Tribolium castaneum: one gene and its partners. The protein of the gene in region 1 interacts with the protein of each later gene in a biochemical or structural test. Links are inferred from orthologs where the notes say so. Each region holds a gene or a part of one and is shown in the gene's direction. Other genes may lie near its edges. The genes, in order: lwr, Mitf, Top1, nop5, ftz-f1, cact and REG.

What was found.
Region 2: the proteins of lwr (region 1) and Mitf form a complex in vitro, tested with the Homo sapiens proteins (2 studies listed by BioGRID). The link is inferred for Tribolium castaneum from reciprocal best matches to the Homo sapiens genes UBE2I and MITF.
Region 3: the proteins of lwr (region 1) and Top1 form a complex in vitro, tested with the Homo sapiens proteins (2 studies listed by BioGRID, with this or other methods). The link is inferred for Tribolium castaneum from reciprocal best matches to the Homo sapiens genes UBE2I and TOP1.
Region 4: of the proteins of lwr (region 1) and nop5, one has a biochemical effect on the other in vitro, tested with the Homo sapiens proteins (2 studies listed by BioGRID). The link is inferred for Tribolium castaneum from reciprocal best matches to the Homo sapiens genes UBE2I and NOP58.
Region 5: of the proteins of lwr (region 1) and ftz-f1, one has a biochemical effect on the other in vitro, tested with the Homo sapiens proteins (2 studies listed by BioGRID). The link is inferred for Tribolium castaneum from reciprocal best matches to the Homo sapiens genes UBE2I and NR5A2.
Region 6: of the proteins of lwr (region 1) and cact, one has a biochemical effect on the other in vitro, tested with the Homo sapiens proteins (2 studies listed by BioGRID). The link is inferred for Tribolium castaneum from reciprocal best matches to the Homo sapiens genes UBE2I and NFKBIA.
Region 7: of the proteins of lwr (region 1) and REG, one has a biochemical effect on the other in vitro, tested with the Homo sapiens proteins (2 studies listed by BioGRID). The link is inferred for Tribolium castaneum from reciprocal best matches to the Homo sapiens genes UBE2I and PSME3.

What each region holds. Positions count from the first base shown.
Region 1 is NC_087399.1:9,254,058-9,258,016, reverse strand, and holds the start of lwr (SUMO-conjugating enzyme UBC9-B), read left to right. Parts: upstream 1-1,159; 5' UTR 1,160-1,307; intron 1,308-1,359; 5' UTR 1,360-1,366; coding exon 1,367-1,432; intron 1,433-1,481; coding exon 1,482-1,565; intron 1,566-1,617; coding exon 1,618-1,880; intron 1,881-3,959. Other genes in the region: transmembrane inner ear expressed protein, read left to right, coding at 936-1,021. UniProt on the Homo sapiens protein: Accepts the ubiquitin-like proteins SUMO1, SUMO2, SUMO3, SUMO4 and SUMO1P1/SUMO5 from the UBLE1A-UBLE1B E1 complex and catalyzes their covalent attachment to other proteins with the help of an E3 ligase such as RANBP2, CBX4 and ZNF451.
Region 2 is NC_087403.1:4,082,622-4,086,905, forward strand, and holds the start of Mitf (microphthalmia-associated transcription factor), read left to right. Parts: upstream 1-1,484; coding exon 1,485-1,642; intron 1,643-3,522; coding exon 3,523-4,030; intron 4,031-4,284. Other genes in the region: CtsL4 (procathepsin L), read right to left, coding at 1-26, 73-233, 279-414, 458-705, 886-1,035, 1,081-1,182. UniProt on the Homo sapiens protein: Transcription factor that acts as a master regulator of melanocyte survival and differentiation as well as melanosome biogenesis.
Region 3 is NC_087398.1:8,304,785-8,309,042, forward strand, and holds the start of Top1 (DNA topoisomerase I, mitochondrial), read left to right. Parts: upstream 1-1,458; 5' UTR 1,459-1,564; coding exon 1,565-1,606; intron 1,607-1,899; coding exon 1,900-2,455; intron 2,456-2,630; exon of another isoform or gene 2,631-2,778; coding exon of another isoform or gene 2,779-2,783; intron 2,784-2,830; coding exon of another isoform or gene 2,831-2,910; intron 2,911-3,867; coding exon 3,868-4,142; intron 4,143-4,251; coding exon 4,252-4,258. UniProt on the Homo sapiens protein: Releases the supercoiling and torsional tension of DNA introduced during the DNA replication and transcription by transiently cleaving and rejoining one strand of the DNA duplex.
Region 4 is NC_087394.1:30,826,772-30,830,650, forward strand, and holds nop5 (nucleolar protein 58), read left to right. Parts: upstream 1-1,319; 5' UTR 1,320-1,486; coding exon 1,487-1,531; intron 1,532-1,587; coding exon 1,588-1,664; intron 1,665-1,716; coding exon 1,717-3,265; 3' UTR 3,266-3,323; coding exon of another isoform or gene 3,324-3,358; 3' UTR 3,359-3,379; downstream 3,380-3,879. Other genes in the region: transcriptional protein SWT1, read right to left, coding at 130-285, 334-481, 538-1,008; TH1 (negative elongation factor D), read right to left, coding at 3,324-3,358, 3,406-3,535, 3,581-3,721, 3,770-3,879. UniProt on the Homo sapiens protein: Required for the biogenesis of box C/D snoRNAs such as U3, U8 and U14 snoRNAs. Part of the small subunit (SSU) processome, first precursor of the small eukaryotic ribosomal subunit.
Region 5 is NC_087394.1:11,117,257-11,120,756, forward strand, and holds part of ftz-f1 (nuclear hormone receptor FTZ-F1), read left to right. Parts: coding exon 1-606; intron 607-3,500. UniProt on the Homo sapiens protein: Orphan nuclear receptor that binds DNA as a monomer to the 5'-TCAAGGCCA-3' sequence and controls expression of target genes: regulates key biological processes, such as early embryonic development, cholesterol and bile acid synthesis pathways, as well as liver and pancreas morphogenesis.
Region 6 is NC_087395.1:1,382,329-1,386,477, reverse strand, and holds the start of cact (cactus), read left to right. Parts: upstream 1-1,349; 5' UTR 1,350-1,579; coding exon 1,580-1,926; intron 1,927-4,149. UniProt on the Homo sapiens protein: Inhibits the activity of dimeric NF-kappa-B/REL complexes by trapping REL (RELA/p65 and NFKB1/p50) dimers in the cytoplasm by masking their nuclear localization signals.
Region 7 is NC_087395.1:26,223,515-26,226,616, forward strand, and holds REG (proteasome activator complex subunit 3), read left to right. Parts: upstream 1-1,302; 5' UTR 1,303-1,380; coding exon 1,381-1,440; intron 1,441-1,486; coding exon 1,487-1,837; intron 1,838-2,212; coding exon 2,213-2,575; 3' UTR 2,576-2,602; downstream 2,603-3,102. Other genes in the region: coiled-coil domain-containing protein 34, read right to left, coding at 1-13, 60-789. UniProt on the Homo sapiens protein: Subunit of the 11S REG-gamma (also called PA28-gamma) proteasome regulator, a doughnut-shaped homoheptamer which associates with the proteasome. 11S REG-gamma activates the trypsin-like catalytic subunit of the proteasome but inhibits the chymotrypsin-like and postglutamyl-preferring (PGPH) subunits.

The sequences.
Region 1 (3,959 bases):
TTACTAGAGTTATTTTAAGGTTCTTTTCATAAGCTCTCACTAAACCTAAATTTATTCGTTTACAAAATATTACAAAATGTTTTTAATTTTTTTTTGGATTTGCACCTTCCAGTTCAAAAACTGATAACTCTACCACTTTTAAAAGATTTTAAATCTTTTTCAGCTTATTTAAAAGAGGAAGCCTAGAACTTTCCTTTGGCGTTTTCAAATTTCTAAAAAAGAATAACAAATAATTAAGTTATAGGTACCTGAAATTGTCCAAACTTAACCTTAAAATTTTTGGGTTTATTAACTTCATTTTCAATTTTAAACACACCAAAGAACAGATAAAGGCCTTCTTTTTTAATTCTCCTAATATGATTTCCAAATCGCTAAACTAACCGAGTTACCAATTTTTTAAGTGACAGGTGCAAATCCAAAAATTTTCAAAAAATCTTAAATATCCTAAAAACGGTAAATTTTAGGTATAGGGAAAACTCTTAAAATAACTCAACTAATCCAAAAACGCAGTGAAAAACATAGCTTTTCATTTAAAATAAGAAAGTTAACAGCGACTTCCGGTATAACCGGAAATGCTGCCATCTTGAAAATATTTTCATTGGCAGAACTTAACGGATTATGATTGACTACCAACTTTTAAAAAATTTCTTTATTAGAGCTTTCAATACTTCTAAAGTAAGGTTTAGACGGAACAGCCTGTAGTTTACCATAAATAACAATAAGCACTGAAACCTTTAGCCTGTATTTGAAGAAAACGCAATTTAAAGTGCACCCTCAAACCAATGTATCTTTATGGGAAAGCCCCGAATCTTTATTTTTTTCTGTATTTGAACTACTGAATTAATTTCTCTTTAGTGTTCTGAACTCCGAAATCGTCAATTTTGAGCCACCTTGTATTTTACGGTTTATTGAACCTAATTATTAATTTTTTGCAGCCTTGAAACTCATTCAGGAGGATTTTGACCAAGAAAATGCCAAGATCCAGGCAAAAGTTGATTTGCAGCAAGTGACGTCGAACTAATCAAATTCGCGCCAATGTTTTTGCCGCCAAATAATTATTACACAAATCCGGGTTTTTGTATTCGTTAAATTTGTTTAAAATCATACACGAAAAGTTTGAATAAATAAATTGTTCTGGAACAAATAATCGGCGACAGGGTGGCCAACACAAGTCGCGTCTGCGCGAATTCCCCTACCTGTTTTCCCAGTTTTTGTCTGTCAACTGTCAAGAAAGCACCGAAGCCCGTTAAATTTTCCTTTAGAGTTTGAATAAGGCCCCATTAAATACCCCAGTGCCCACTTTTAGAGTACGTTTTGGTCATTTCGTGCGATAATTTTGAGGTAGAGCCTGATTTTTAGTTCTAGGATGTCTGGAATTGCTCCCGCTCGTCTCGCCGAAGAACGCAAAGCTTGGCGCAAAGAACATCCTTTTGTGAGTAATTCCTTACAAAATTGCCCTCATGTAATCCATTTCTCCGCAGGGATTTGTGGCCCGACCGTCGAAAAACCCAGATGGCTCTCTAAATCTAATGAACTGGGAGTGCTCAATTCCTGGTAAAAAAGGGGTAAGTTTGTTGCATTGTTTAGTAATTGTTGGGTTATCGCATTGTTGTGTAGACGCCATGGGAGGGTGGAAATTACAAATTACGCATGTTGTTCAAAGATGAGTACCCAAGCATTCCCCCAAAATGTAAATTTGAACCACCGTTGTTCCATCCAAATGTGTATCCGTCAGGTACGGTGTGTTTGTCGTTGTTAGACGAGGAGAAAGATTGGAGACCGGCGATTACTATTAAGCAGATTTTACTCGGAATTCAGGACTTGTTGAATGAACCCAATGTTAAAGATCCAGCACAAGCAGAGGCCTACACAATCTACTGGTAAGTGGTTTTTTTACGGGGTGTTTACATTTGACGTAGTCAAGAGTGCTGTGGATATTGTGATCACGTGATCAAGGAAATTTCGTATCTAGTAATCCATGAAAATGAAAACTTAGTTTCGTAAAGAAAAGGCACTAAGACAATAAATGGACAAGGTTACACTACGGACATCTAAAGGTTAGGATACGAAATACAAATTAGTACAAATAAAGCGTTATTGTCCTCGATAGTTCCGTTAATGTCACCAGAGGGCGCAGTTGATCCATTAGCATCAAAGCCAGTAGATATACTAAAGTAGCGACACGGACCTTGACAGGGCAACAATAACGATTATATACTCTAGAGAGGGCGCAACTATCGAAATTCGACATATACCGCATTATTTACATAAAATGCGTAGCCTTGAAAAGCCTTAGTAAGTGCGTTTTGTCTCTGTTTCTACGTTTAATCTTCACTAAATGAAATTGCTAAAGGGGATGCTCTAAAGAGATATTCGTTAAAGGTCACATTAGATGATAGATTTAAATCGAGAATGTATTTAAACAGGCAGTTTAGTTTTCCAAGGCTCGACATTTTTTGTAATAACGCTGTAATTTTAAAGGTTCGCCAAATTGTCAGTAATTTTGAACATACGTCAAAACTGTCAAGATTCTCTCACTTTTGAAAAATTGGTAAAGAGCACAGTGATTCTGGCGTTCATCTGTAGTTTTACTGTGGTTATTGGTTATGAACAGATTTCATGGAACTTTCAAACCTGTGCTTAAATCACGTAAATAATAAATCGACACCAAAAACATTAAACAAAAGGGCCTCCAGACTGTTCAAAGTCGTCCACATTACGAAGCACGTCTGTGTGAGAATACTGGAAACTCATTCAAACAAAAATTGTTTCAGAAACATAAAGTGTTAGGTACCAACTTGAAAGAGAAATTTCTAAGATACCAAATTTTCAATAAGTATTTCAGGTAGATTTAAACAATACTTCCTTGAAAATTCTTCTAAATTATTAGATTCTGTCCTAATGGGAAAGAATTTAAGACCGCTCTGCTTACACTGACCTTCGTTTCACAAAATTTAATGCATCTAAATCTGGGAATTGTAGCGCATCGAAGTTTGGTGGACTTTTTATAGCCACTTATTTACAGCAACTATGGTATGCAACATTTAAATAATAAAGAGAAATTCAGGTTGTATTATTTCTATTTCTTAGGTAATATCGAGGTGTAAACCGTACCCCAAATTTTGTACACCTGTAATTTAATCATGATTCCTTCTGATTTTTCCCTAAATTTTTAAAGTGATTTCCTTAAAATTTCTTGATTTACTCAATTTTGTACACTGATTTCCTCTGCGGTTTACCTCTCGGGTAATATTGAAAACATTTTCTATTCTTATTGCGAAAAATGTCTTGGTTTCATAGCAGTTGTTAATAGTGTTGAGGGAAAAAATTAAATTTAATTAAAAAAAAATAAATCGACCAATTTAAAATCTTGGAGTAATTACATACGATAAACTGTAAAAACACTTAGAGAGGAGTTTATTAAAATTAGAAATGTAAGTATCACAATTTTTTTAAATCAAACAACTATTATTTTGAAACGTGTTTTTGGCTTTTTCGTTAAATACAAAGTTCAAATTCTTTTAAGGAATGAATTCACTGTTGAAGCGCCAGCACCTTCTTCGAAATGTCCATAAGAGTTGCTGTATTCTGCGCATTCTAAAAGCCTTTCTCATTGCAATGTTCAGTTGAATTTAGGGACGATCTGATTTACTTTTACGTGAGTGAAGCACAAGTTTGAAGGTTTCATGGTATCTGTACACATAAACTGTAATAACCAGGGTGAAATTAAAGACGATCACCGAATTCATTGTTCTGATTCACCAATTTTTCAAACGTGAAAAAATCTTGACATTTTTGACGTACGTTTTTGAATTTTGATGGTGGAGCCATCTGTAGAGTGTATAATCGTTATTGTTGCCCTGTCAAGGTCCGTGTCGCTACTTTAGTATATCTACTGGCTTTGATTAGCATCAGGTTTTCAGAGCAATGAATTTAAAAAAATTGTTGGTAAATTTTTA
Region 2 (4,284 bases), on another chromosome or scaffold:
AGGCCACGTCGTCGTACACACCAGAACTGCGATAGTTTTATAAATAAGCAAACAAAAAAAATAATTACGTACTGGTAAAGTTGGAAAGTGTGAGGGCTTGCATTGATGGACGCTGCCACGGGCCCGATTTTAGCCACAGCTAGTTCCAAAGCCCTTTCATCCCTTGCGGGCAAAACCGCCCAGGTGGTCAAGTTTACAATCGCTCTGTGCTTATCAAAGCGACACCTTTGTTGCTACAAAAAAGTCAAAACAAGTAATACATAACTAACAAAACGTACTCTGGCCAAGTAAGGGTAGTCACTGTACGTCATCAACCCCCCGGCTTTCTCCAAATACCGCAAGGTGTTTCTAAGTGAACCGCCCCCGCAACCATAATTACCCATGGAGACGCTACAGTCGACGATTTGCTGCTCACTACAATCCAAACTTACTTCTGTTCCCACCATAAAATAATTACCTCAAGGGTACCAGTTTTTCGGTTTGTTTAAAAATTTGGGCTTGTAAGACGCTGGCAATGCTGAAGGCGTAACAAGAGCCGCAGTCTTTCTGATTGTATGAGGGTGTTTCAAACCCTTTTTCCACCCAGTTGACTTCTTCAGGGATGTGGTGGAGGAGCTCGAACAAGTCACCCACCACCTCAGGGTCGACCTTGCGGTGGGTGCTCTTGGTCAGCTTAACCATTTTTTGCAAATAGCTCTGTGTACTCTACAAAAATAACGTTCTAAGCAGCAAACTAACGACCTATTTATTTTCGTATGCGAGCTTTGAAAGCTCCTTTCAGGAGCTCAGACGACTTTCCCCGAAAGGCAAAGCTGGCATTAAAACTGAATACGCAGTAACGCAAAAGTTTGATTTGCAATCCGGAAATATAACAAGAAAGCTTACCATGTCGCTTAAATCATTCTCCTTGATGTAATAGGAATGCAGCCCTTTGTCGGCTTCTTCATTATGCTTCTTGATTTTCTCCAAGTTGGATTGCCAGGCCAATTTCCGCGAAGTATCGAGATATCCGTAGTAGGTTTTATTGTACGATTGCTGAAAACAATGTTGGCTGAGTTTGAATTGAGCTGTTTTTTCTACCTTAAACTTCTCCCATTGTTCGTCTAAAGAGGCGCCATTTTCGTGAAAGTGGGCCAATTTGGCCAAAACCGTAGCCAAGGCAATAATGAGGATGGTTTTCATTTTCGCAATGTGTCATTTTTGTAAAATAGCTGAGTATAAATCGCGCAAAAATTGCTTGTAGCGCGATTTTTGAATGGATGGGAGCGTTCCAATCCCACTTAAGCGAGAGTTGCGTGCGCAAATTCGACTTTGTCCATGACATTGTTATGAGGGAAACTCAGTCTCGAGTTAGATTTTAATAAACTTCGGCTGCTGTTTGGCTGTCGGTCGTCCAAACAGTCCGTCGGCGGATTAGAAGAGATATGCCACCGACCAACACCACCTAATTATCCTAAACAAATCTGTGCATTGAGCTGTGAAAAATGGCCGAATCTGGTATTGATTTAGGTTACGATCTGTCGGCTCTCTTGTCCGACGATTTCGATATAGAAAGTGCGATTGATTTCGATGATCTCTTGGGTACTCCGAAAAATCAAGAGTTTTACGAACTAACTTCTAAAACAATGCCTGTAAACGAAAGGTGAGCCAAAGAATAATTATCCGGAGCCTAATAACTCACGTGAGCCGCTGATTTAATTGTTTAATGCATAGTTGTGTCACCGAGGCAAGGAAAAGGGCTAAACAAAATCATGTCGAAGAATTTTACGCTTGCTATTAATAAACCAAATACTATACTAATATTAAACTTTTTGAAGTACTGCCAAACATCACCTTTCTGCGCTAAAGGATTTCCTCCGCAAAAATTACTCATCCAGCGAGCTTATCAAAGGATGTACGGTTTTGAGATAGAATTTTTTTCTCACTCTGTTCAGCTTTGCTCCCTTTAATTAGAGAAGGAATGCTAATTTATTTTCCATGGTGCAATGCAAGATAGAACTGGTTATTGCTGTCGTGTACCAAATTAAAATGTCAAGTTTGTTCATAAAATTCGCCCAAATCGATTTCTTACAGCCACACGTTTCAATGGACAAAAGAACCATCATTTTGGCACACGTGCGTTCGCTTTGGCAACGGCCGGACAAATAGCGCGCCAATAAATTTATCAAGGGTATCGATTTATTCCCAAAACAAGCCATTTATAGACGCAAAACCCCAAATTCAACAATGCGTTCTACGCGCTCATAAAATCCGTAACCTTTTTAACTTATTCTCTCCAATTACAGATAATGTTATTCTCGATATCACTTCTTAGAAACTCGACTACATATCGAAATTCGTACGCATTGTTTATTGTGCTTATTTTACGACTAACCCCGCCCCCATGCTCTTCTTGTTACGCACATGTGTATAAACGATTTCAAAATTTTTTATTTAAAACGTTGCTAAACACGAAAAATCGTATCCTGATTGCTGAAATTAATTAATTGGGAAGATATTGCAACGAAACTCAACTTAAACAAAATATTTGATAACATCATTAATTAATGGATGTAGCGCGATAAGTATTTGACTATTTTGTGTCACGCTGTAGATGTGGACTTGCTAATTAAATTGTTTACTTATCGTTTTACCATTTGTCAATGCCATTATAGTTTCGAATCTAAGCCCGGTTGTGTGAAAATTTTCAATTAAGCGAATTCATAATGTAATAAATGGGACTGTGTGAAACGCTCTTCTCTTTGTGTGCCTGTTAAGCTGACTCACAATTTAGAGCAATTCCCCATATGTTATCATCTGCATATTTAATGGGACGTGTTATTGACGTCAACAGTAAATATTATACACATATTCTTGATTTGCCCGCCCTGGAGCCGGTTTAGGGTCACACTTGAAAAAAGTGCTCTTATTGGTTGTTATTGGGCGAATCCACTCCCAACCATAAACCCGGCCAATACGAGCCGTTCAGGAAACACCACAAAAACTATTACATGTCATAGATAATGAATTTTAAAATTGTGGATATTTTTGATCAGATTTGGGATTAAAAAAATAAACATTAAAAAATTTGCTAATGAAGCGGCGTAATTAGGTCTTAAAAAGCTAGTATTTGTTTAAGTAATTGAACCAATTGCCTCGCATTAACTTTATGTTTTAATAATGAAATCAGCACTCGTGAGCCCAGTAAGCACACATATAACGTTTTTTTAACGTTACAACATCGTACGTTGTAAAAAACTGAGCTTATTCTTGCATTTACTTGTGGCAATCGCTATAAAATTTTAAAACTGATATTAAAAAAATTGAAAATAGAAAAAGCAATTAAAATCTTAACCGTCCTACGGCTGTCTAAAAACCAAATTATTGACCAAATAATTGTTGACGTTGATTACTGGTTTTATATTTTCAAAATCGTTTAAATAGTTACTAAAAAAACGTTATTTCCGCGTATATTTTTGCGTTTTATTAACGTAATTTTTACGTTGGTGTGCGTACTGGGGTGACTTTGCCCGTTTGTTCCAGTCCGCCGAACCTAAAAACCGCCACCCCATTGTCCCGAACGCAGTTGAAGCTGCAGCTGATGCGCGACCAGGCGCTGATGGAGCAGGAAAGACAGGCCCAAGAACGAGCAAGACAAGCTCAAGCCATGCAACAAAGACCGCCAGCCTCAGCCATGAAAGTGCCATTGCACAGTTTAGCGGTAGAGGTTCCTCCCCAAGTTTTACAAGTTCAAACAAAACTAGCAAATCCTACTAGGTACCATGTGATACAGAAACAGAAAAGTCAAGTGAGGCAGTATCTCAGCGAATCATTCCAAGCTCCGGGCAATGCACACTTCTTGAACAATTTGCAAAATCCGGTGCCGCAAACGCACAGCGCGCCCGGAATTGCCGGTGCTCCGGTACCTTCCGCCCCCCTAATGCCGCAGCAGTCCCTTGCTCACTCGCACCCCTTTCAAGTTTCGTGCCCTAGTCCTGAGGCTGTGGCCATGTCCCCAGCGCTCAGCTCAGGCGCCACCAGCACCTCTGAGGTAAGTTTGCGCAGGTTGGGCAACCGCATTTATTCACTGGTTTACACCATTAAGTTCCGATTATTACGTTACACAAAAATTAAGGCCAACTCTTTGCTATTAATAACGATAATAAGAGAAAATAAGAAAGAACAAACAAAATTGACAATGAAATAAAAGTTTCGGATTTTGTAAAACGCTACTGACCATTAAAATGATTAAAAACTCATCACAGTTTTTTCGTACTCGTAATGGTACTTGCATTTTTTATTACT
Region 3 (4,258 bases), on another chromosome or scaffold:
CTGCTATAGTACTGCTTTATGGATTATTCCTTTTTTTTATTATTCTTAGGTGTGCCGTTTTAAGGAATTTGCGAGTTCGAAAAAAATAATGAACCTGAACACGAAGCAAAAAAAATATTAAAAAAATAGATTCCACCTATAATTTGCTTGTACAGTGGGCCGCAAAAATATGGAATAATCTTATTAAACAGAATTTAAAATTTTTGTCTTGGTTTTCGAATAACGTCGCTATCGACACATTTTTTTTATGAAAACCTCTAATTTTCTTTGATCGTTTCAATAAATTACATGTTACATCTTATCTTACGTTTAAATACTACCAAAAAACAACACAATAAATTTGTTATTTCACCAAATGATCATGGAAATAGATTTCAAACAAAATCTTAATAACTTTTTTTGTTAAGAGTATTTTTATCAGTTCTTTCGTTTTTCTTTTAAATATATTAAGTAGACAACTAAATTTAGAAGACTTGCCGCTCACTGTATACATTGTACAAATATTTTATCTATTATATTTGAAGCTTATTCCTCTTTTCTGAAATATATTTGAAAAGAGTTCCGGTATTCTCAATATTCAAGCGTTTATCGTGGGCGATGTCAATCTCATATTTTTCAGGATTCGTTTCTATTGAAATCAATACGTTTTCAGTAAATAGTTATAAAAAATTGCTACATTTATGATTTTACTTGTCTAAAAGTAGAACTGAATAGCATTTCTAAATAATTTTAAATGCCATTTAAAGCATACAAAAAAATAGCAGCTGAAAATAAATTCTAGAAGTTCGGTTTTCAAGACGTCAGCCGAGTCTTATTTGAAAATAATGCCACAAATCAAATCTCTGTTTAATTTTTTACCAAATAGAAAAAACCCGAAGTCGATTGACATTGCAGTTTTGCTTTCAGGCGCTTTAAAACGTTTACACTTTAAGTAAATATTTTAAAAATTGTTGGTCTTAAAGTGGAACGCGGAACATTTTTCTCTTTGATGTAAGGAGTAAGCTATTTCTGGTGCTATTTCTAAAAGAGGTAACAAAAGGAAACAATTCGAATGAGTTTTCCCAGAAAGTCAGGTAAACCTGACAATAATAGAAGAAATTTTTGAAACAACAATAGGTAGCTTTTCTCAGCTCGAACTAAATTTACACGTGTTATGTGGGAGGAGGTAAAAAAAGTGTATTCGATGATCTTGTTCGAAATATTACAATGCAACAAGTGCACAATACTTTACGTAACCGTCCCATTAAACATTAATTCCAAAAAACGGTCCGCAAAAGCTGTGCATGAACCCAAAAGTGCGCTCATCCTCTGACTCATCATCGATTAAAGCCATGAACTTTCTCCCGAATCTCTGCAATAAATTTCAAGCAGCTGACTGTGACATTCGTCTACTTTTCAAGTTCAAAGTTGAACGCACGAAATTCAAATCCTGGCGCGCTACAGGTTATTGCCTCTGAGTGCGGCGCGTGCGCACTACGCAAAATCGCGTACTTTGTCATAAAAGCGTTCGCTGCGTTTCCCCAACGAGGATTCTAAGTGTTTGCCTCGTTCAATCTGTGAAGCGATGGAAGTCGAAAACGGAGCAAATGGGGAAGATTCCAGTCCTGTAAGTACAAAATCTCGCCTAGAATTTAATTCCGCGAATTTCGGCTCGTCCACATTTTCCCGCTTGTGTGAAATAAGGGCGCTTTCCTCGTGCTCTAACAGCGTTCGAGCGAAATTTTTCTAAGTCCCAAAATGGCGTCAGAGACTAAGTCCCACGTTTGTGGCATCAGGTCTAGAATTTTCTCGCGATAAACCGAGATTACGCATTTAAACGGCTTCTTTTCGCTGCTTTCGGTTCAATTGGGGCGAAATCGAGGGGGGCTCCATTTATAATTTGCACGTTTTTTGGTGCAGAGCCACAAGATGAAGGAGTATAACAGCGATACGGCCCAAGTGAACGGCATAAACGGCTACTCGGACAAGAAGAGCCACAAATCGGAGCATAAAGACAAGCACAGAGACAAGGACCGGGAGCGAGACAAGGAGAAAAGTAAAAGCAAAGAGCACAAGAGCTCGAAGGATAAAGACCGGCATAGCTCCAGTTCGAAGGACAAAGACCGAGATAAGGAACGCCACAGTTCACACAAGTCCTCAAGTCGGGACAAGGAGCGCAGCGACAAGGACAAACACCGCGACAAGGACAAGCACCGGGACGAGAAAAAGTCCTCGAAGGACAAGGAAAAGGAGCACAAAAGCTCGCACGATAAGGACCACAAGTCGAGCTCGAAAGACAAGGAGCGCAAGGATAAAGACAAGCACAGCTCCTCGAAGGATAAGGACAAGGACCGCCACAGCAGCTCCAAAGACAAGCACAGAGACAAGGACAAGCATCATTCCAGCTCCAAAGATAAAGACCGGAAGGACAAGAACAAGGAGCGGAAGAGCGAGAAAGAATCGGAGAAATCCTACGGTAATTTAACTTTTACCTCATTTGCTAAAAAATTATTTCCAGAGGGCGTAAAGCATAAAACACATCTGCAAAAATGGCCAAGGGTTTGTATCCAAATTTTCCTAACTAAAATTTTAACAAAAGTAGTGGCTATTGTCAGTTTTTGTAGGTGTTATTTTTTGCTCTAGGCCTAAACCTTGCACTCTTTAACTAAAAATGTTAAGTTTGAGCACAGTTTCATCGTATTGTTATTGTTTTATTGTGTCCATAGTTTCGAGTCAGTTTGATTTGACAAAATTTTTGTAAATACAAATTTTTAGAACGCTCGAATCATTATTTTCAACATGAGGTAAATAAAAACCTACTCGAGTTTTTAATCACTGTAATGGCTTGCAGGTATGTAGATAAGGCATGTTTGAAAAATGTAACCATCTTCGTAATTGTGGACGAAAATCAATGTTTTTTGACGCAAGCTGGTACGTAATTTTAATTGTCTTTAAGTCACTCACCGACAGGACTAATACGGTTTTTGAACGCTTATTTATGCATTATTTAAACAAAAACAATATTCGAAGCTGCTCATGCATTTTTTTGCTTTATATTATGCGAAATAACGAAGACATTGTATTGAATTTTAAAATTTTTGTAACATCCTTTAAGAAACGTGTTTTATCCAAGACATTGAAAAACCAAGCTCACGTCTCACTTTGAAATGCAAACTACGAATGTTCGAAAACAATTCTTATTTTTGCAATAACTAGATTTAGACCATATGTAGGTTGTTTGTTCATTTTGTTGAGGAATAAATACACGAAGACCCGAAACAACTTTCAGTAATTATTGAAATAATTGATTTAATTAATTTATTATGTCGTTTGTTATTCTAAAATGAGCGGTTTTAAGCACCTTGACATTTTTTATCAGTGTTTTAAAATATCAAATGATATATTTGTGATTGTCCCGCATCTCGTTGATGTTAATTAATCATATCTTGTTCATGTGTGATGGAGTCCTTAGTATATAAAAAAAAATCACTTAATCCATCATTAGATCATAATTGGCAACAGTTTATTATTTAGTCAAAATGTTTATTTAATTAACAAATTGTGAATTAAAGGTTTCTTTGCATTTGCTGTAGATATAAATATTATTCTCTGTAATTGGGTTAGCAATTACTCTTTGATATGCAACAATTTGTTAGATAGTTGTTAATTACCAGCAGATTAACTTTCGTATCTTGTTACGATTTGGAAGAAATAAATTAAAAGAATCGGTTCATTACATAATAAAAATTAAACAATTCGGAGTCCAATTTTCTAAAACTTGGCCAAAATCCAATTGGGACAAGTGACAATAATTTTAACTAACCGTAAAATCCAATTTTACACATTTTACGCGAATGGAATGTTGATTAAACAATTTTTTACTGTCAGACGATGAGAGAGAAAAGAAGAGTAAGAACCATTCAAAACATGAAAACGACGTGGGAAGAGAAGATTCCGCAAGAGAGGATTCGGTCGATGAAGATGATAACAAACTCATCATCAAAGAAGAGCCCGAGTCTCAAGATGAAGTCGACGACAAAAATGCTTCAGCTGCGAGCAGCTGTGATTACAATTTGTCTCAGTTTAAATCGGACGAGTCAAGATTTGAAGATAGCACTGCTGATGTGAAGCAGGAAGAAGACAGCGATGAAGATTTGCCTCTGGTAGGTGTTTCATTCAAGTTTATCGTCTTTACGTAAATAAAAATCATACGATTGCTAAGGACAATAATTTGTAATCTTTGTAGTCATTAATGTTCAATTGTATTTTCAGCGAAAAC
Region 4 (3,879 bases), on another chromosome or scaffold:
TATCCAATGAAAAAAGTACCGTGAATTTTTTGTTTACTAGAGCGACTCATGTTAAAGAATAAAAATAAAGTTCAATGGTCATAATAAAAAAATGCAAACACTTCTACGTGAAACATTGTTTCAGTATACCTTTCATTCTATTATGTTTACTACTCATAGTTTTTTCTATTAACTTGATGGCATCTTGAGCTTTCTGTCTGAGGCTACGTTTGTTTGAATCGCCCTTTATAAAGTCTAACTCTTCTGTAACAATCCAGGGAATGAAAATGACTGGCTCCCTGGGTCCTATAACAAGTGTGATAAATATTTATCCATTGTTACACATTTCTTTACCTTTAACAGCTAATGTAACAATGTTAGCAATTATATTCAGCTCTGATAAGAATATATTCGTGTCAACCACAATATAAAACTGACAAGAACTCGTAATTTGTGAATTTAAAGTATTATCACTTGTGCTTTTGGACTCCTCAATATCAGTCTAAAAAGACAATTAACTAGAATATTAAACTGAATAATTAAATCAAGAGAGTATACAGGACACCATTCCATATCCTCTTCTGAAACAACTGCTGTCTGTTGAAAGCCAACAGCAAATGGATTTGGAGATTCAGTGGTAAACACATTCGTTTGTGTTAGAAACTCTTCTTTAAAAATGAAAGGAGTTCCAGGTTCACTGTTCGAACATTCCCCTGAACTCGAGGCACTTTCCTTAATAAACAGTTTTGTAGACACTTCATGTTGCACTGAATCAGTTGGTCGTTTCCGCACACAATTCTTGTCTTTAAATTTTGGTACAGATTGAGCAGATTTTGAAACTTCTTCATTTAAGCTAGTCCTAAGCCTCTTTAACCTTTCATTAGCTATGTTCTTTTTCGGCGTAACACTAATGGTACGTTTCGTTCCATGTTTTAAATGACTATCCTCTTGAACAATTTTTTCCGGAAAAATTTTAGGATTCCTCTCATTTTTTCGTTTGGCTACGAGGACTTTTCGTTTGTCTGACATTTTAATTTTTAGCAAAAAAAACTTCTTTTAATTCATTTTCAAATAACAATTTTCTGTTTTCTCGCAAATCAGCTGACAACAACAACAAAACGCCATCTTAACTTGATCACGTGATATGTACAATGCACCCGAATTCGACCTGTTGTTAAGATCGACTTAACCGAATGTAGGTGAAACTGAAACTTTTTTACAAGTAACCAGTTAACGCCAGTTACTAATTACAACTCCCACACATACTAAAAAGAACTTGGGTTTTTGTAAACTGGTGTCAAATAATCTTAAATCTGCTTTATTTAGATTTACATTGGAAAGGCACGTGGGGGAAAGAACCAAGAGTTGGTAATTCTTGGGGAATTCGTGCGAGTCGACAATCTCGCCGACGCGCTAGACCTCATGGTTTCTAATTGTTGCCGGTTTTTATCGTTAATATTAAAAATTGGTGGGTTTTCATATAAATTGTTGTAATACAAAGTGAAAAATGTTGGTCTTATTTGAGACAGCGGCAGGTTACGCGCTGTTTAAGGTAATTCTGCAGTAAAGTTGTTGACAAACTTAACCTCAAATTTTCCATGCTTTCAGCTTCTGGATGAAAGCAAATTAAAAGAAGTTAACAATTTGTACCATGAATTTGATTCACCCGAGTCGGCAGGAAAAATGTACGACCTGTCCTAGTTTCAAAATGCAAACTTATTAGTAAAATTGTTTTAGTGTGAAGCTGAAACATTTCGAGAAGTTCAATGATACCACTGAAGCCCTGGCTGCCACGACTGCAGCCGTCGAGGGCAAAGTCTCGAAAAGCTTGAAGAAGGTGCTGAAGAAGCACATCGACCAAGAATTGCAGGACAAGCTGCTTGTGGCCGACGCCAAGTTAGGGTCTGCCATTAAAGAGAAGTTCAATTTACAATGCGTTTCGAATACAGCTGTCCAGGAGCTGATGCGGTGCATTCGGTCGCAATTGGACAGTTTGATAACGGGGTTACCTAAGAAGGAAATGACCGCGATGGCGTTAGGTTTAGCTCATTCCTTATCACGGTACAAGTTAAAATTCTCGCCTGATAAAATTGATACAATGATAGTCCAAGCGGTTTCGTTGCTTGATGACCTCGATAAAGAACTCAACAACTACATAATGAGGTGCCGCGAATGGTACGGTTGGCACTTTCCCGAGCTTGGGAAAATAATCACTGATAACGTTGCGTTCGTCAAAACTGTTAAAATCATCGGAACGCGTGATAACACCGCCAGTTCTGACCTCTCCGACATTCTCCCCGAAGAAATTGAGGAGAAAGTCAAGGAGGCAGCTGAAATATCAATGGGTACTGAGATATCCGACGACGATATTTTAAACATTCAGAACTTGTGCGACCAAGTTGTAGAAATTTCCAATTATCGCACCCAGTTGTACGACTATTTGAAGGCCCGTATGATGGCGATGGCCCCAAACCTGACAACGTTGGTTGGGGATTTGGTGGGCGCTCGTTTGATTTCGCACGCTGGGTCTTTGATAAACTTGGCCAAACATCCGGCCTCCACGGTGCAGATTTTGGGGGCTGAGAAGGCGCTATTCCGAGCCCTCAAGACCAAGAAAGACACCCCGAAGTACGGGTTGATCTACCACGCCCAGTTAGTGGGGCAAAGTAGCACCAAAAACAAGGGGAAAATGTCTCGAATGTTGGCGGCTAAAGCAGCCCTCGCAACTCGAGTCGATGCTCTAGGCGAAGACGGGAATTTCACGCTTGGGGCGGAGCACAAAGCCAAGTTGGAAGCACGTCTTAGAATTTTGGAAGAGGGGAATTTGAGGAGAATTAGCGGGACGGCGAAAGCCAAGGCCAAGTTTGAGAAATATCAAGGGGTTTCGGAAGTTCAGCAGTATCCTGCTGCTGCCGACTCGACGTTACCTTCGACTTCGAAGAGGAAGAGGTCAGAGTCGGAGCAAGTGAAGGAGGAGTTGAACACGACTCAGGAGACTCCCAAGCAGAAGAAGAAAAAGGTCAAGACGGATGAGACCAATGACAGTATCAAGGAGGAGGATGAGGACAGTGGTGAGGGCCAGAAGAAGAAAAAGAAGAAGAAGAAGGCGAAAGAGGAAGCGGAGGAAGAGGTGGAAGCGGAAGTTAAGGAAGAACCTGAGGTGACGCCTGGGAAGAAAAAGAAGAAGAAGAAGTCCGAGAGCGAAGCTCCGCCTGAAGTTGTTGAAGAGCCAACAAGTGGAAAAAAGAAAAAGAAGAAGAAGAGCATTTCCAAGGAAGATGAATAATTTAGCGGAAGGTTTTTTATTTTTTACAATAATAGACATTCTTATTATTAAGGTGCTGTTATACAACAGCGGTGTAATTTGCTTTGCAATAGACTAAAAACAAACAATAAGAAATTGATTTACCACGTTTTCCCACTCACCGATAAATTCAGACACGGGGTCGTTCTCCCCATCTCCTCTCATTGTTCCCGTAATTTCGTCATTTTCAACCATTGGCATAAATAAGTGGACGAATTCGGAGCTATAAGGGGGCCCGATGGTCTCCAAAACCTACAAAAATTGCATTTTCCGGTCATTTTTAACAAAGTAACTTACTTCCGTTACAAAGTAACGAATCAGGGATATGTCCGTGTCGCCTTTTTGCCAACACTGTTTTATGTACTTTACAACGGGTACCACACATCCAGCACATAGCAAATTTACCATTCTGTCAAGGACCATTTTGCGCATTTCAAGCTAACAAAAAAAAAACTGAAAAATATCGTAAAAAAATTGATAACTTACTTGGACTAAAATTTCCAGTTCGTCTTGCTTGGATTCAAACAACCTGATTAGTAAGTCGAGTACTTGATTATGGAGAAGAGGGTGACAAGTAACTACTTCATCCAAGAGCG
Region 5 (3,500 bases), on another chromosome or scaffold:
ATGCGACAACGACAGCTGGCGGCGCAAACGCTACGGGGAAGCTCTCTCGGTGACGCCATGTACAGCAGCCAGCCCGGAACATCACCCTTCGCCAACATCCACATCAAGCAAGAAATCCAAATTCCGCAAGTGTCATCTCTAACATCGTCGCCCGACTCGTCGCCGAGCCCCATCGCCGTCGCCCTGGGCCAGGTCAACACCTCCAACCTGGTGCAGCAGGCGTCCAGCCAGCAGCCGGCGCTGCAGATCGTCGGGGTGCCCGGGGGGCCCTCCTCCATGGTGATGGGGCCCGACAACAAGCTCTGGGGCTCCGCCAACTCCACCACCACCTCGCCCCACTCGCTCAGCCCCAAGGCGTTCCAGTTCGACACGGTGGTGCAAGGGGGCAGCGCGCCGCCCTCCAGTAAAGTGTCGCCGCTTATCAGGGACTTTGTGCAAGCCATCGACGATCGCGAGTGGCAAAACTCTTTGTATACTTTACTCCAGAACCAAACGTATAATCAGTGTGAAGTGGACTTATTTGAACTTATGTGTAAAGTTTTGGACCAAAATCTGTTCTCTCAAGTCGATTGGGCGAGGAATTCTGTGTTCTTTAAGGATCTCAAGGTTCGTATCCCGAAAAAATGCCTCAGTTTTAAATTACCAACCGTTTGTGTGTTTAGAGGTATGTTAAGGTTGTTCACATTTTTCACGCATTTATTATTTTCACATTCAACATTCACAATTCGTTAGCTTACAGTTTAGCTAAAAAATGTCATAAATCAGACTGTCAACCCTTTATCGTAAAACCCTGTTTTGGGGGGATTTTGATTGTGTCAACATTACTCAACAGGTGGTTGGTAATTTAAAATTGAGTCTTTAGTTTGCCCTTTTACAGCCCCGAAAAAAATAATTTTTAACGTTTTTATTAATTACGTTGAAGAAAGTTAAGTCAAAACATATGAAGACTTTACTTTGCATTTCTAACTCCAAAAAGCTACAGAAATAAACAGTAAGGCTTCGGAAGTTCTCTTCTTTAAATGTACGGACGTTTAACATTACTTGAAAGTAATGTTCTGTGAAACCTTTAAATTTAAAAATATTTGCTGATTCTGTGCTGAAAATACTTGCGGGGTTTGCGCAGCAAATATTTGTTTTTTACCTTTTTAGCAAAACTGTTTGTTTAACAAAATTGTTTGATTACAAAATGAAATATATTCTAATCCTAATATTACAGTGAGACCTCGATACGCCGAACCTATATATATCTTGAAATTTCGTTCGAAAATTATTTACTAAAAGCAATAAATGTATAATTTTTCAAAGCTTTTTAGGTTGAACATATTTCCGGTTCATCTGAGCAGAAATCTACATAAGTCGTTTTTTTTTACTTCCCACCAATTTCATTTCTGCGGTATGAACTTTTAATAAAACAACAACACTTTCAATAAAATATATTGTAAATGCTCTGGAGACTGTGACGAAATTTACACAATATTCAGGCCCTGGCCTATGAAAACTTTTCGAAAAAAAAAAAATAAAAATGTGTTATTCTTTAATGAAAGATTTTTTTCTGTCAACCTAAACACAAATGAATAAAATCAATGTAGTAAAACCTACAATTTTATTTCATATTTACATAAAAAATTGTGATAACTGTGCTAATACATATCGACTGTATCTTTTTACATTTTATTATTTTACTCCAAAATAGTACATTTTCCAAAAGACTTACAAGGGACAAACTTGTTTTTTAAACCAAATGGGCTTTCAAATTTCAACCAAAGCCAATGATTCTTAACTAATTGGTGCCATAAAGCTATAAAACAATTTATGTCAAGAAGGCCCTCAAAGTCCCCTTCAAAAATGTTCTACAACATTAAAATATACATTTTTAAAAAAGACTAAATGCCAAGTTTTAAAAAAAATGGCTGAGAATTTTTAATGTCAAAAAATATAATCTGAATTTTTTTAGGTAATTTGTGGAGGCTATTAGTAAAAAACAAGAAAAAACAAATTGTTAGATCTATTAGCACTATTTCAAATTTTGACTGTTCTCGTGTTTCCTATTTATTTATAATTTATTCGTATTTTCAAATAAGTATTTAGGCTTTGTGTTTAACTTTGCCCATACTACAAATTAATCAAAAAAAAATCAACTTTTTTTGTTGTTTGCAACACTTCAGCAGGATATGGTGTTTGTTGACAAATATTTTGACATCAGAAGATTATTGGTTATGATTCTATTTAATTTGCATGCAGATTGAAAAGCTGTTAACAAAAAAAGGTCTACAAAAATTATACCATTTAAAAATAAAATTCAATAACTTTTGATAAGTTTCTTTAAGTTTGAATAGCTTAATTCATTCATATTAAGTATTACGGCTTATTACAAATAACACCCTGTACAAAGTGTTTTAATTTTCCGCTGTTTTTTAATTGGGTTCCAGGATTTTGATAATAACTTCTCGCATTTATTAAGTTGTGGGGCCCATTTTTGTTTTTATTTTTCACATTATGATGATAATAATAATACTTTGATAATTTTAAAGTTGAAAGAGAGGGTTTGGGAGTAAAAAAACCGATTGATTTTTCGGTCGAAAAGTTCAAAAAATAGAAGAACAAAACATTTTTATTATAATCATTTTTATATTTTTTTGACAATTATTTTTGTTTTTATTTTTCACATTATGATAATAATAATAATAATAATAATAATATGATAATTTTAAAGTTGAAAGAGAAGGTTTGGGATTAAAAACACATTATGATAATAGTAATAATAATAATAATAATAATAATAATTTGATAATTTTAAAGTTGAAAGAGAAGGTTTGGGATTAAAAAAAAACGATTAATTTTTCCGTCGAAAAGTTCAAAAAATAGAAGAACAAAACATTTTTATTATAATCATTTTTATATTTTTTTGACAATTATTTTTGTTTTTATTTTTCACATTATGATAATAGTAATAATAATAATAATAATTTGATAATTTTAAAGTTGAAAAAGACGGTTTAGGATTTAAAAAAACAACAATGAATTTTTCGGTCGAAAAGTTCGAAAAATAGAAGAACAAAACATTTTCATTATAATCTATAAACTATAAAACTATAAAATCGAGAATGTAATTAAAAGAGAATTTTTAAACACCTACAAAGAACCAACTATTTCAAATTTGGATCTAATTTCTTTTGCTTAAATGCCGATTTCATAATATACTCAAAAGAATATAAAGTAACACATATGTGAAAAAAAAAAAAACAGAAAATGAAAAAATAGAACCGAAAATTCAATAAATAATAATCTATCGACCTGGATATTTTCAAGTTTAATGGTTAAGTAATGCCGAAACATGTAGGTACTTTACCTTTATTAAAAAATCAAACAATTTTTTTATTTCTTTTTTTGGTAATTTTTTCGTTGCAAGTTATATTTGTAAACATAAACATGAAATAAAAAAAAACCTTTTGCCAATAAGTTTGTAACCCAGTTTTTGGTAATTAGCACAAATTATTTCT
Region 6 (4,149 bases), on another chromosome or scaffold:
TTTTTTGGCAATGTTAGGGCATTTTATTTGACGTTCAACAAACTTAACCTTAAAAATTTGGATTTGTGAACTTTTGTGGAAATCTCAAAAAAGTAAAGAAAAGAACTAAGCTTTCTCTTTCAAATGCCCTAAAGACGATTTCAAAATCTTTCCAAAATTTTTTCATGGCCTACTATAAAGAAAAAGCGAAATGTTATGTTTTTTAATATTTAAAAATAATGTATTACACAAGTAGACATATCAAATCAGAAAAAATAAGCTTTTCAAAAATATCACAGCCGCCTACAGTTAAACGAATGGTTGAAAAAAATCGCTGATAACATTATTAGATTCTCTGTAAAAAAGTGTCTGGATAGTGTCTTTGTTTCAGATGTGTATCTTTAATAATAAGGAAGCAATGAATTTTTTAAACGGACCCGAAAATGTGCCACTAGTTTTTCTCTAAACCTCTTGGTTTCGGAGATCCCCTATTCGGACATCCAAAATATCACTCTGTACATATTAGTGTTTCCCAAAGGATTCATGTTTTTTTACAATATTGTTATTTTTATTATCTCACATAAAGTAAAAATAACTGCTAAAAAAACACTGATTTTGATGCATTTTCGGAGTTCGTTATAACCGGACTCAAGTGTAGTTTGAGTTTTATCTCTTCCAAAGTTACCAATGGTACCAATTTCGCAAAGTTTAAATTTACCAAATTTACAAATTTTCTCAAAATTTTCTCATCATAAAAATGCTCCCCTGTAAAAGGGTCTTAATCAACTGTCATCTGATATTAGTAGGCTGTGTCAGTTTTGATATTTTAACAAAAATTTGTTGATATACCGAGTTGATAATAAAGACAAGTTACGATAAAGTTTTTCAAAATTTAATGAGTATTTGTGTCGAACAAATTAATTTAAAATTTTGGAACACATTAAAACGAATTGTCAACAAAATGTCAAAAATGACAAACAAACATAATTAAAAAAATGAAAAAAAAACAATTCTTAGTAATGAAATGAACCGTGATTCAATTTTATTTTCTTAATCTAAAAGAAGTTAAATAAATCATTGCGTTTTTTAGGCCATCACATAAATGCTCCTGTGTAAAGTGGGTTTAAACATTTGTCAAATTTGGCATATCTACTTGTCATTTTTGACGGTTTTATAAAACCAATCGTAAAAATAGAAAAAACTCGTCAATTTGTTAGTGTCATTCCACCCTGGCGCTCGAAAATCGGTCAAATCCTCCCCTCTTCTAATTTAAACTGGCGCCACGTCACAGCGCATGTCTGGGGAATCCCGAACTTGTGTTGGGTGTCCACCACACGCGATCGCGTTCATTTCTTCAACCAGTCGCCGAGAATCCATTTTCGCGTGTTGACGTAACGAACCCAACGACCCAAAATCGAAAAAACCATCGTCGAACCATTTCCAACCACCCCTTGGTCCAAGTCCCAAGTGTCTCACGGCTGTCTTTGCAAAAAGTCGCGTGTTGTTTTGGGGGCCGCCATTAGAAAGTAGTGCGTGCGGACTTGTAGCCATTTTGTGTAGACTGCTGTACTTTTAAGTGTGTTCGCTTATTATCGGGAAAATGTCCGGGAAACAGGATAAGAAAATCCCCTCAGTTCCAGATGAAGGCGCTGTGAGCGAAGAGGAAAAGTGCGCCCTTGACAGCGGCTTCATTTCCGGTGAGCTCCGCTCCGAGGAGAAAATCACAGAGGAGTTGCCCCAAATTGAACAACCACAAGAGAACTACATGCGTCTGGACAGTGGCGTCGACTTGTCAGAGAGTTTTTCCGGACTCCATATCAAAAATCCGGACTGGAACGATCTCTCCTGTGCTAAGAGTAAAGTGCAGGAACCACCTGTTGAAACACCAACGACTGCCAAAGACGACCTCTGGAAACAGTATTTCCAACAGGATGAGGATGGCGATACGTAAGTCTTTAGTTTATCGAAGGGAAAAACTAAATGATAGCCGGACGACCTTTGACCCACTTGTTATCGCTTAGTTCATTCAGTCTTCAAACCAGTTGAAATGAATCAAACAGTGGCGCAGCGAAATTTTTTGCTATTTTCATTTTTTACTCCACCATCCAGGTGGTTGTGATTTTGGAAACAAGTTGGCAACACTGATTACCACATTTAAACGTCACAATTTGTGGTTAACTTTCATTTTTTACTCCACCATCCAGGCGGTTATGATTTTGGAAACAAGTTGGCAACACTGATTGCCACATTTAAACGTCACAATTCGTGGTTAACTCATAACAATTTTTTATGACGTTTTAGGAAACGTATCAAAGTTGACAAATTTCAAATTAAGTTGGCAATGTCATAGTTAGATTGGCATTCGTTTACGATCAGTTGTAGCAATAGATTTTTTCATTTGTTTATTAAAAATGAAAAAAGTCTGATCATCATTGTTGCCAATTTAATTTCAATGCTTAGTTTGCTTTTACAAAAAAATTAATCTTGTGTGAAATCATCGAAACGGAAAATTAAGTTGGCAACATTAAATAAGACCTGAAGTTTTAATTTGGCAACATTGTTAAAATTAAGCGGTCCAAGTCGTGAATCAGTGTTGTCTAAGGTTTTTCGGGTTTTTTTCAAAATTATTTAAAATAATTAATATTACCAACTCAATTAACAATAAAGGGTGGCCAATTTAATTTCAGTAGTATTATAGGTCTCTTACTTAGTTGCATTTCACAAACAAGTTAATCTTGATTCTGTAAATAATAAATTTGTCCTCGTAAAGACTTCATTAATTCTATTTGTTTTGACATTTTTTCGTTTAAAATTACAATTTGCATATGGCATGAGTTGACACTGAAAACGCAATTATCCTTAATTAACAAAATGTTTTGTTTGCAACATTGATTAAAATTTAAAGAAAATATGGAAAATTAAGTTGGCAACATTAAATAATAATCGGAAGTTTTGATTTGGCAACATTGTTGAAGTTAAGCGGCACAATTGTGGATCAATGTTGCCAGAAGTTTGTTTTCACAATTATTTAAGAAGGTGGCATTTAAATATTGCCAACTTATTTCATACTAAAATAGAGAGAAACAGGTAAATAGTAGGTATGGTTTGGTAAGTTGTCATTTGTTTTCACAGACATTGTTGCCAATAGTTTTGTGAAAAAATTGCATTTCTCACTCAACACATTGTCTAACGTTTAGAAAAGGTAAAATAAAATAACATTTTAGCCTTATTTTGTGATTTTTTGGCTTGGTTTAGTAAAGTGTTGCATAAAAAAAAATGAATTTTTAGCTCAAAATTTTAATAAATTTTGGTGAAATGATTTTCTATTTACCTATTTTTAACGAAATTTTGGAACATAATTGCGTTTCTATGTGTTAATAAAATCACTTAAAATTAAGTTGGCAATATAATAGACTGTCAGTTTTAATAGTAAATTGACATTTATTTACGATCGGTGTTACCATAGTTTTTTTATTACTTATTTTTAAAAATTTTAAATTTTAAAATTTAAAAAAGTCTCATATCTGTTGTATATTTTTTACATTAATCAGAGTTGCCAATTAAACATAGATTTCTTTTGTAAAAATCGTAAAAAGTAGTTGTATCACGTGTTTAATTATTATTGCAATGAAATTAAGTTGGCAACATTAAGTAATCTAGGAGTTACTGGAAATAATTAGGTTGTCAAGTTAGCCTCAAATCTTCAATTTTTAATTTGGCAACACTGGTCGTAAAATACTGTAATAAGTTGTCATTCATTTGTGACAAATAAATCACTATTGCCAATAAATTTTCTTATTACAGTTTCAAATTTACTTCGAAATTAAGTTGGCAGTATGGTATGTCAAACTCCGTGATGCCAATAGATTTTTTAAAATTATAATAATTTATAGCATGTCTTTGTTTCGACATTGATCAATGATTAGTGTTGCCATTGTAATTTAAAAATCATCATAGGCTCTTTGCATTAAGTTGGCAACATTGAATTTAAATTAACATAACTGTGTTTTTTTGTTAAGAAACTTTTATTTAACAAGAGTGACAATTTTATAGTCAATTGTCATTTATTTGCAACAGACACATAGAAGTTGCCAGTGGTGCCAAAAGATTTTTTATCACAATCATCTGAAAAAATATTAATGTTGCCAACTTAATTTGCACAAAAAATGA
Region 7 (3,102 bases), on another chromosome or scaffold:
GACGAACAAAGGGCTGAAAAAAATCATTAAAACGTGCCCTAAACCTGGAAGTAAATTACATTCAAGTCCTTTATTCAAAGGGATTGGTTTTTGCCGATGTTTGGAATTTTTCAGCCACTCATTGAACGCTTTTTCATTGTCCTTCAACTGTGTTTCTTTGCGTTCCAGCTCGTTGATCAAATCCATTTGTTTCTTAATTTTCTTTTCCAAATTCTCTTCTTCCTTCTTTTTTAACCAGAGCTGAAAATTGAGCTGATTTTCCAACTGGCGTTTCTCCTTCTCCAACTCTTTTAACTGCTTTTCTTCCTCTTCTTTCTCTTTCTTGCGTTTCGCCTCCTCCTCCAATTTTTTTTTATTCATCAACCATTTCCTAAAGTTATCTCTCTCTTGCTCGAGCAATTTTTCCTTTTCCTTCTCTTTTACTTTCGCTTCATCGACGATTTTCTGCTTCTGAACTTTCTTCCTCGTCTCGTCTTCTTTCTTGATCAATTTTTTGATTTCGACTTTGGAATTTTGCGACACTTTGGTCTTACTTTCGGGCAGTTTGAGCACTTTTCTTGATTCTTTCAAAATAGGAGGACAATCGGCATGAAAAGGACACGTCTTCTGGTCTACAGAACAAGTGCAACGTTTGGTCTTTACTTCCGGAAAATCCTCAAGCGAGGATTTTCCCGCAATCGAAGTGTTTTCACTTGACACATTCGCCGAAAGCGGCTTTTCCACGTAAATAGCCGAGTTTATGAATTTTCGTACGACATGAGTGGAAACTCTTCGATTGTCTTCTGACATTTTCAATCAAAAAACAAAGACAGGGGCGTCAAACAATTCAAACTCGAAATTTTCGCGCATTTCGCGTTCAGTGACTTTGGTGAATCAACGAGCGCGTCCTGGCGTTAGCCCTTTTTTTTGCATGCGGACTGTTTTTACGTTTTATTTTTTTTAACAATTAACCAGATAAACCAAAACTTATAGAATTGTTTCATATTTTTTTTTGGCAACTCGAGGCCAATTTGGTCGCTAGTTTTATTGCCAACCTAAATCGCAAATCGCGAAATCACGCTGTAAATATTTGTTGTATAGAAATTCCAGATCAGTGGGATCAAATTTTAGCAATCTGGCACAAGTTGTTGCATGATTCAATTAGTTGTTGATTTGGTGGATTGGGGATCGCGTCCTGGTGCTAGGCCCAATTCTCGTCCTTTCTTTTGCCATTGCCCCAAACATTTAGGTTAAGTCAACTCAAGTGAACAGTTCAAAAGTTAGTTCTAATTGTATATTATGGCAGATGCAAAAAAGGTGAGTGGGAAAAAAGGCGCGTGCCGATTCAGCTCCGCACGATTTCGTGACAGTTTTGTCAAAAACTGGTCAAAATTTGAAGTGATGCCCTCTTCGAGCTCCATTTCCGTGGAGGGCTGGGACGAGGAGTCGGCCTACCACGAGGTCTCGATAGCCCCCTTGTGTGTGGTTGATAGTTGCGTTTTCGCAGGTGTTGGAATACAAAGACAGTCTGAAGAAAGAGGCCGAAGAGTTGCTGCTTAAGGGGTTCCCCGCGACGATTGTGAAGCTCAACGCTTTGCTAGAAACGCCCCAGTTCAAAAATCGGAAATTCACTGACGTGCACCAGGAGCTGAACATCCCGGTGCCAGACCCCATTTTGCTCAACAGCCACACGGACCTGCCTCCAGCCAAGAAGGCCAAGTATGACAATAGCATATCGCAAGACGGCACCAAGGTCATGATCCTGCCCACGGGGGCTGTGCCCACTAACAAGCATCTGGTCGAGTTGGTCGAGGCTGTGAAGCCCCACATCCGCAAACTGGTTGAAGACTCCAATACTGTAAGTTGGCATGGTAACCATGCCAAAATTTGAATGATCTAGTCTCACAAGTATTCCACAGCCTACTCAATGCACATTCCTGTGAACAATCGGAACTTATAAAATGTTCTTAACTGCCTTTAATTGTTTAAATGACAAGCAAATACATCATAAAAAATTTAGATAATACAATTAAATTTGTGAACACGGATAATTTTCAGAAAAAACAATATTTCTGAGCCTTTTCGGAGTTACATACGTAATTTAGTGTTTGACGTATTTTAAAAGCGGCACTTGTTTTTTGTATTTTATTTTATATTCTAAAAGAAATGATGCTCTTATGTTAAAGTATTTTCGTTGCGAGACGAGGGACGAGTGTTGTGAATTTTTTTGCAGATGAAAATGTGGATTTCTTTTATGATTCCGAAAATCGAAGACGGCAACAACTTCGGGGTGTCGATCCAGGAGGACACTCTGGCCGAGGTGCAGTCGGTGGAATCGGAGGCGGCGGCGTTTTTCGATCAAATCTCGCGATATTTCATTTCTCGAGCCAAGGTCATCTCGAAAGTGGCGAAATACCCGCACATAGAGGACTACCGAAGGGCCGTGCAGGAGCTGGATGAGAAGGAGTACTTGAGTTTGTGGTTGGTCATGTGCGAGATCCGAAATCGGTATTGTGCCCTTCACGACATAGTTATTAAAAACCTCGACAAAATCAAGAAGCCACGTTCCACTAATGCTACTGAATCTTTGTACTAAAACAGATAAATAAATGCATCTTTCGAATTTTGATTTTTGTAAAGTGTGTACGTGACAATGAGTATTATACAATATTTTCGTAATAAAGTTATTGTGAGTTTTTTTATCTGTAAGGGAACTTGTAGTGACACTTAGCAGTGAGTAGCTGTTGGGGTTATTTTTTATTTAAAATAATACATTTCATAAATAAATTATAAAACGACTTTTTATTCCAAATGCTACACTAGTACATACTTTTCGTAACTGAGTTTTCTAACGGTAGGTATTAGAGTGAATACGAACAAATAGAATCGTTATGAGATGATTTTTTGTTTGTTGCTTGCTCTAAGTCTTCCACTTTCCGAGAAAAAAACACAATATAATAATTCCGAAGTTATTGCTCATTAATGATCCGGATACCCAGAATCGACCAAGATCTCGACAAAAATTGAAAAAATCAAACTCCAAAAAACCGAACATACCTATGCAAAATGATCCGGGGAATCGATTGGAATCAAAAAAAGCGCTAAATTCCCAATAGTTTTTTA